2 linked regions of the Oryctolagus cuniculus genome follow. The protein of the gene in region 1 interacts with the protein of each later gene in a biochemical or structural test. Links are inferred from orthologs where the notes say so. Each region holds a gene or a part of one and is shown in the gene's direction. Other genes may lie near its edges. The genes, in order: ARAF and GNA12.

The links.
Region 2: the proteins of ARAF (region 1) and GNA12 form a complex in vitro, tested with the Homo sapiens proteins (2 studies listed by BioGRID). The link is inferred for Oryctolagus cuniculus from reciprocal best matches to the Homo sapiens genes ARAF and GNA12.

The regions. Positions count from the first base shown.
Region 1 is NC_091453.1:33,066,020-33,069,059, forward strand, and holds part of ARAF (serine/threonine-protein kinase A-Raf), read left to right. Parts: intron 1-1,965; coding exon 1,966-2,142; intron 2,143-2,223; coding exon 2,224-2,270; intron 2,271-2,682; coding exon 2,683-2,801; intron 2,802-3,037; coding exon 3,038-3,040. UniProt on the Homo sapiens protein: Involved in the transduction of mitogenic signals from the cell membrane to the nucleus. May also regulate the TOR signaling cascade. Phosphorylates PFKFB2.
Region 2 is NC_091450.1:37,494,435-37,498,247, reverse strand, and holds part of GNA12 (guanine nucleotide-binding protein subunit alpha-12), read left to right. Parts: intron 1-771; coding exon 772-987; intron 988-3,813. UniProt on the Homo sapiens protein: Guanine nucleotide-binding proteins (G proteins) are involved as modulators or transducers in various transmembrane signaling systems. Activates effector molecule RhoA by binding and activating RhoGEFs (ARHGEF12/LARG).

The DNA.
Region 1 (3,040 bases):
TCCATGTCTATGCATATTTTCTGGAGTTTCTGAAGTTGCTTATTTCCAGCTTCATTCCATTGTGGTCAGAAAAGATATGTGGTATGATTTCAGTTTTTTTGAATTTGTTGAGACTTGCTTTATGGCCTAGCATATGGTCTGTCCCAGAGAATGTTCCATGAACTCATGAAAAGAATGTGCATTCTGCAACTGTGTGATGAAGTGTTCTGTAGATATCAATTAGATCTGTTTTGTCCATTGTATAGAATGGCTCTGTTGTTTGTTGATTTTCTGTCTAGTTGATCTGTCCATTGATGAAGGTAGGATGTTGAAGTCCCCTATTATTATTGTATGAGAGCCTGTTTCTCCCTTTAAATCCATTAACATTTGTTTTAAATAGCCAGGTGCCCTGGCATTGGGTGCATATACATTTATTATAGTCATATCTGCCTTTTGAATTGATCCCTTAATCATTTTATCATGCCCTTCTTTGTCTCTTTTAACAGTTTTTGTATTAATATCCTTTTTTTCTGATATTAGGATGGCTACTCCATTCTTTTTTTTGCTTTCTCTCAGCATGGTGTATCTTTTCCCATTCTTTTACTTTCAGTGTGTGTCACACACTTGTGTGATCTTAGTCTTTATCCTCATAATGAATGTCACAGTAGAAAACTCTTGTTCTGGGTTCCTCTCTGTGAGCTGGCAGTTGAATGCTGTTCATTTTTACTCTCATTCAGTGTTAACCATAGTCTTAACCACTATTTAGAATCCTTGTGTGCTGTGTTATCCTCTGATGTGAGCAAAATGGCATCCATGCTATTTGCATTTCTGCTAGCAGTGTGTCTGTGGCTATTACTTCTTTCTGTAAGGAATGAAGATTTTCTCAAAGTAGGGAGAAATGATTCATAGAGACCGAGTTCCCGCAACATAGACCCATGTACCTAGCAGCAAGAACAGGAAGATGACATTTTAATTTTTTTTCTTGTTTTCAAATGTTTATTCATTTATTTTCATCTACTTGAGAGGCAGAGAGTCGGGAAGGGGAGGAATGGGGTGGGGGAGAGACACCATGTACTGGTTTACTCCCCGAAATGTTTGCAACAGCCAGGATTGGGCAGGCCAAAGCCAGAAGCTCAGAATTCACTCCAGGTCTCCCATGTAGGTGGCAGGGACCTAAGTACTTTAAGCCATTCTCTGCTGCCTCCCAGGGTGTGCATCAGCAGAAAGCTGGGTTGGAGCAGAGTAGCTGGCACTCAAACTGGCACTCCAATATATAATACTGGCATCCGTAGCATCGGCTTAACCCTCTGTGGCACAGTGCCCACTCCTGAGAGTGAGATTTTCAGAGTGCTTACTCTGTATGTTCAGCGCTGCGCTAAGCACCTTATAGATTGCTTATTCGCTTATTCCACTGGACATCCTTGTAAGGTAGCTACTCTAGTGATCACAGTTGTACAGTTGAGGGACATGAGGCCCAAAGAGGTTAAATGTCTTCCCCAAGGCTGTACAGTAACTGGTGAAGTCTAGTTTTGAACTGAGGATGTAACAAGGGCCCAGACTCCAAACTCTACCTCGAAGCCTGTCACGGCAATTAAGAGGCTGTAATCACTGTATCACCAGTATGTTTACCTTGCATTTATCTCAGTGTTATGTCAGTGTATCAGTGAAGAGGGTTGGCAGCAGGCCCAGGTAATGGTCTATGGCAGAGGTGTAGAGGGTGTTAACAGTTGGAGATGCTGCTGGTAGGCAGAGGGGTGGGGCTGCTGCTCCCTCCCTCCTGCTTTTGTGGGGAGACACTGATGAGGAAGCTCAGAGCGTAAGTCCCCAGCAGACGTGTCTCACACACTGATGGAACCTGGCAGCAGTCTGACCCTGAGTGCCCTAAAAGACAAAGTGAAAAGGAGTGACAGAAGAGGGCAACAAACAGTGCCATTCCCGATGTTCAGCAAGGACCTGACAGTCGCTGTTTTTCCTCCCCACCCACAGGAAGACACGGCATGTCAACATCTTGCTATTCATGGGCTTCATGACCCGACCGGGCTTTGCCATCATCACACAGTGGTGCGAGGGCTCCAGCCTCTACCACCACCTACATGTGGCCGACACGCGCTTTGACATGGTCCAGCTCATCGACGTGGCCCGGCAGACTGCCCAGGGCATGGAGTGAGTCTCAGGGTTTGGGGGAGGGGAGAGATAGGTGTATAGGAGCACCCAGCCAATTACTACCTGCCTCTACCTCCACAGCTACCTCCATGCCAAGAACATCATCCACCGAGACCTCAAGTCTAACAGTATCTACCTGTTTCTGGGTGAGGGCTTAGAGGGCTGGTTCCCACGGGTGTGTTCTGGGGTTGAAGAGGGAGGGGCCTATGTCAACATGGCTAGCAGCCTGCGAGGGGGCTTTGGGGAGGGCTGTTGGTGAGGAGTCAAGTGCTCCTGGTTCACGTGTGATTCTTGGAGACTGGTCAGGGTCTGAGGTGTGGAAATTCTCTGAGCAGGGCAGGGCAGGTTCAGATCCCATTTGAGGGCCTTCTTGGCTGAGTCACAGAGGGGGGCCCAATGTGGAAGGCATCGCTTGGAGCTCCCCTCTCCCATCCAGGTTGTGCATGGTTTGTGTGACATTGAGGGGTTTCTGGTCTGGGGCACTCATGGGTGAGAGATGTGGCTATTAGGAGTCCCTGTAGTGGCCCTTGACTCTGGTGGACATCTTCCTACATGAGGGGCTCACAGTGAAGATCGGTGACTTTGGCCTGGCCACCGTGAAGACGCGGTGGAGCGGGGCCCAGCCCTTGGAGCAGCCTTCAGGCTCTGTGCTTTGGATGGTGAGTTGGGCCACAGTGGTCAGGGGCCCATGGGGACATGGGCTCCTGGATTGTGGTATGTGGTCTTAGCAGGGACGGGGATCCCTACATCAGCTATGGATGTCCGAACTACTCACGTTCTCCCTCATCTGAGTGCCTCTGAGTTGTACCTGCTGTGGCCAGTGGCATGTAAGAGTATGGGCCAGCCATTCGCTGACTCCCACACTCCCCTCCCTGTCTGGTCTGGCTTCTTGAAGGCG
Region 2 (3,813 bases), on another chromosome or scaffold:
GCTGGGTGGCTCCCGTGGTGTCCCCCGGGTGCCGTGTCGGATGAGGGCACGTGCTGGGTGGCTCCAGCAGTGTCCCCCGGGTGCCGTGTCGGATGAGGGCACGTGCTGGGCGTCTCCCGCGGTGTCCCCCAGGTGCCCTGTCGGATGAGGGCATGTGCTGGGTGTCTCCTGCGGCGTCCCCCGGGTGCCGTTTCGGACGAGGGCATGTGCTGGGTGTCTCCAGCAGCGTCCCCCGGGTGCCGTGTCAGATGAGGGCTAGCAGGAGCAGAGCTGTGTGCTGCTTACACACGTCCTTCGTGAGAAGGCCACCTTCCTAGGAGTGACGGCACCCATGTCACCGCAAGGCAGACGCGTGCCGCTCTGCACACTGCCCCGCCTGGGCATCTTCGGCTCTGTGACAGGTGCTGCGTGCTGTCGCATGTAGACTTACCAAGTGGAAACTGAACCTGCCGCTGCGGGCCGCTGTGGCAGCGTGGCAGGCAGCCTTGGCAGGAGGGATTCACACAGCAGAGCCAGGACGGCCTTGGCTGCCCCTCTGCCTCTTTACCGGTGCTCACTCCGGTTCTGCTTTGCGCCGTGTCGCGGTACAGCAGCTCCAGCCGGGAGCGGAACCAGCAGCAAAGCGACCTCTTGGCTGTGTCAGCCACCGAGTCTCGGCTACTGCGCCGTAGCAGCTGAACACAGGCCAAGACAGAGGCCGCGCTGGGCTTCTCTAGTATGATGTAGTGTCTGCTGCACAATTAAATCTTTCTTTTTTCTTTTATTTCCTAGGGCTCAAAGGTTCTTGTCGACGCGCGAGACAAGCTTGGTATTCCTTGGCAGTATTCTGAAAACGAGAAGCATGGCATGTTCCTGATGGCGTTTGAGAACAAGGCGGGACTTCCTGTGGAGCCCGCCACCTTCCAGCTGTACGTGCCCGCGCTGGGCGCGCTCTGGAGGGACTCTGGCATCAGGGAGGCCTTCAGCCGCAGGAGCGAGTTTCAGCTGGTGAGTGCGGCCTCCGGGCGCCTGTCTGAGCTCTGGTCGCGTTTTCCTTTAAAAACCGCAGAAAGGGCAGGAAAGCTGTGAGTGCAGATCCCAGTGACCGACAGCAAAACGCGTGACGGAGGCGAATGAAACTGGTTCAAGGGGAGGAGGATTCACGTGGGCTGGGTAGATGCTTTTGTTCCCGAAGTAGGATTCTTAAAATGGTCACAGTCGGCGCAACTCGGGCGACTCGCCTTTCTAGGTCTTGTTCCTAGTAGGAAGCTGGTGGGCCGTGAAGCAGCGTGGCAGCGTGGCAGCCATGGCGTGTGCGTAGAGGGGAGGACCGAGTGCTGCCGGGAGGGCGGGTGCCTCGGGAGCCAGCCTGCCCGCCTCTGAAGGATCAGGCCCCATGACCAGAGCGTTCCCGTGTCTTGCTTGTTTCTTTTTTTACTTTTCCCTCTAACTGCCCTCCAACGTGGACCACACCCGAGGACACGCGTGCCACTGACGCTGGCGCACGCCTGGGTTCCAGACAGACGCCACCCTCAGCTCTCGGTCCTGAGCTTCCGTCAGGAGACCCTTCCTTCTTCCGTGGTTTACTGATGCATGTGTAGTTTTGCTGTTAGCTCTGTGTGTGTGTGTATGTGTGTGCGTCCGTGTCTGTGTGTGCGTCTCTGTGTGTGTGCATTTCTGTGTGTCTGTGTGTGTGTCTGTATGTGTCTCTGTGTGTGTGTGTCTGTGTCTGTGTGTGTGTGTGTGGTGAACAGTGAGCTACTGAATTTTACCCATTTTCAAACCTAGTGTGTGAATGGTGTCTGGCTGTTCGTGTTCTCTGTTTTACCTTTTTCAAGCGACATCTTGGAATTTATTCACATGATTTGTGAAACCGTGGTCCCTCGTCCTCACTCTGTCCATTGCTGGGATTTGTCCCTGCCGCCGTCAGCGTACTTCTGAATGTCCGATTGTACTGCTAGAAAGCACGGTGTCTCTCCTGCCTGGCTGCGGCTGCGGCTGGGAGGAGTTCCGCCAGTTGTGTGCTCTGGGGCAGGAGTTGCAGGCCGTGGGGTATAAAGCTCCAAGCAGACGTGCTAACACCAGGCAGCTTTCCAAGGTGGTCGTGCCAGCAACAGGGAGAAGTCTGTTGGTCTGCATCCATGCCAGTGTTGAGCATTACCGACCCCAGAGTTTAACTGGACCGCGTTCTGTTAACTGAGATGCCCCCAGGTGTGTTGTCTGTGTGTGCATCTCCTGAGTTATTTCACGCTTTCCTCATTCATCTGTGACGTGCTGGGTGTAGTCTGCTAGAAATCTTTCCAGCTCAGCGTCTGTTTTCTTCACACAGTTTCCCTGATGTTCCCGTGTTACACACCCAGGTCAAGGCCTGGAAGCACACGTCGGTTTAATATCATTAATGAAGCTGTAGACCTGTCCAGACTTAACCTGTCTTCCCTCTGGCATCGTGGGTGCTGAGAGCCAGCCCAGGGTGCTCCGTCGTGTTGAGCTGTCTGCTCAGTCGCCTCCAGTCCGTGACCAATCCCGCGTCCTTCCTTGTCCGGGCGACCCTGGCGTGCAGAGCGTGGTCAGTTGTTCTGTGGGACGTCCCTGTCTGGGTTTGTGTGTTCTGTGCTCCTGGCAAGAAGACGAGAGCGCTGACTGTGCCCTGCCCGGAGCCCGTGTCATGGGCAGCGGTGATTTGGGAGTGTGCAGGCCTGGGAGCTGGATGGCTTGGTGCAGGCGGCGTTTGCCAGCTCCCGCTGCTGGAAGTCACTGCTTTTCTCTGCCGTTGTTCTGTGTCTGGGGGGATACTGTGAGACTGTGCGTCCATACTGCCTCTCCTCAACATTGGCCCAAGAGTTTTCCTCCAACCCTTTCTCATTTGCACATTCTTTCTCTAGTTAATTTTATTTTTTTAAAAGATTCGTTTATTTATTTGAAAGTCAGAGTTACACAGAGAGAGAAGTAGAGGCAGAGAGAGAGAAAGAGAGGTCTTCCATCCGCTGGCTCACTCCCCAATTGACCGTAATGGTTGGAGCTGCACTGATCCGAAGTCAGGAGCCAGGAGCTTCTTCGGGGTCTCCCACGTGGGTGCGGGGGCCCAAGGACTTGGGCCACCTTCCACCACTTTCCCAGGCCACAGCAGAGAGCTGGATTGGAGATGGAGCAGCGTGGACTGAAAGCAGCGCCCATATGGCGCTTTACCCATTATGCCACAACACTGGCCCCATTTAGTTAACTGTAAAAACAGCAACAATAACAAAAGACCTACTTACTTGAAAGAGCCACAGAGATAGAGAGGGAGAGACAGAGAACAAGGTCTTCCATCCACTAGTTCACCCTACAAGTGACTACAACGGCTGATGCTGGACCGCTCCAAAGCCAGGAGCCGGGAGCTTCTTCTGAGTCTCCCATGTGGGTGCAGAGCCCCAAGCACTTGGATCTTCATCTTCTGCCTTCCCAGGCACATCATCAGGGAGCTGGAGTGGAAGCAGAGCAACTGGGACCCAGACCGATGCCCATATGGGGAGCCAACACTGCAGATGACGGCTTTACCTGCTATGCCACAGTGCCAGCCCCTCTCTAGTTAACTTTTACAATTCAGGTGAAGACGTTAAAAGCAGTAGGCACTGTGATTGCCACAGAAAGGAGATTGTAACCTCTAAGGCTAGATATAAGAAACAACAGGAGGGCCTGGCGCTATGGCGCAGCTGGTAAAGCCGCCGTCTGCAGTGCCGGCATCCCATGTGGGTACTGGTTCAGGTCCTGGCGGCTCCACTTCTGATCCAGCCCACTGCTATGTCCTAGGAAAGCAGTGGAGGATGGCCCAGGTCCTTGGGCTTCTGTACTCAC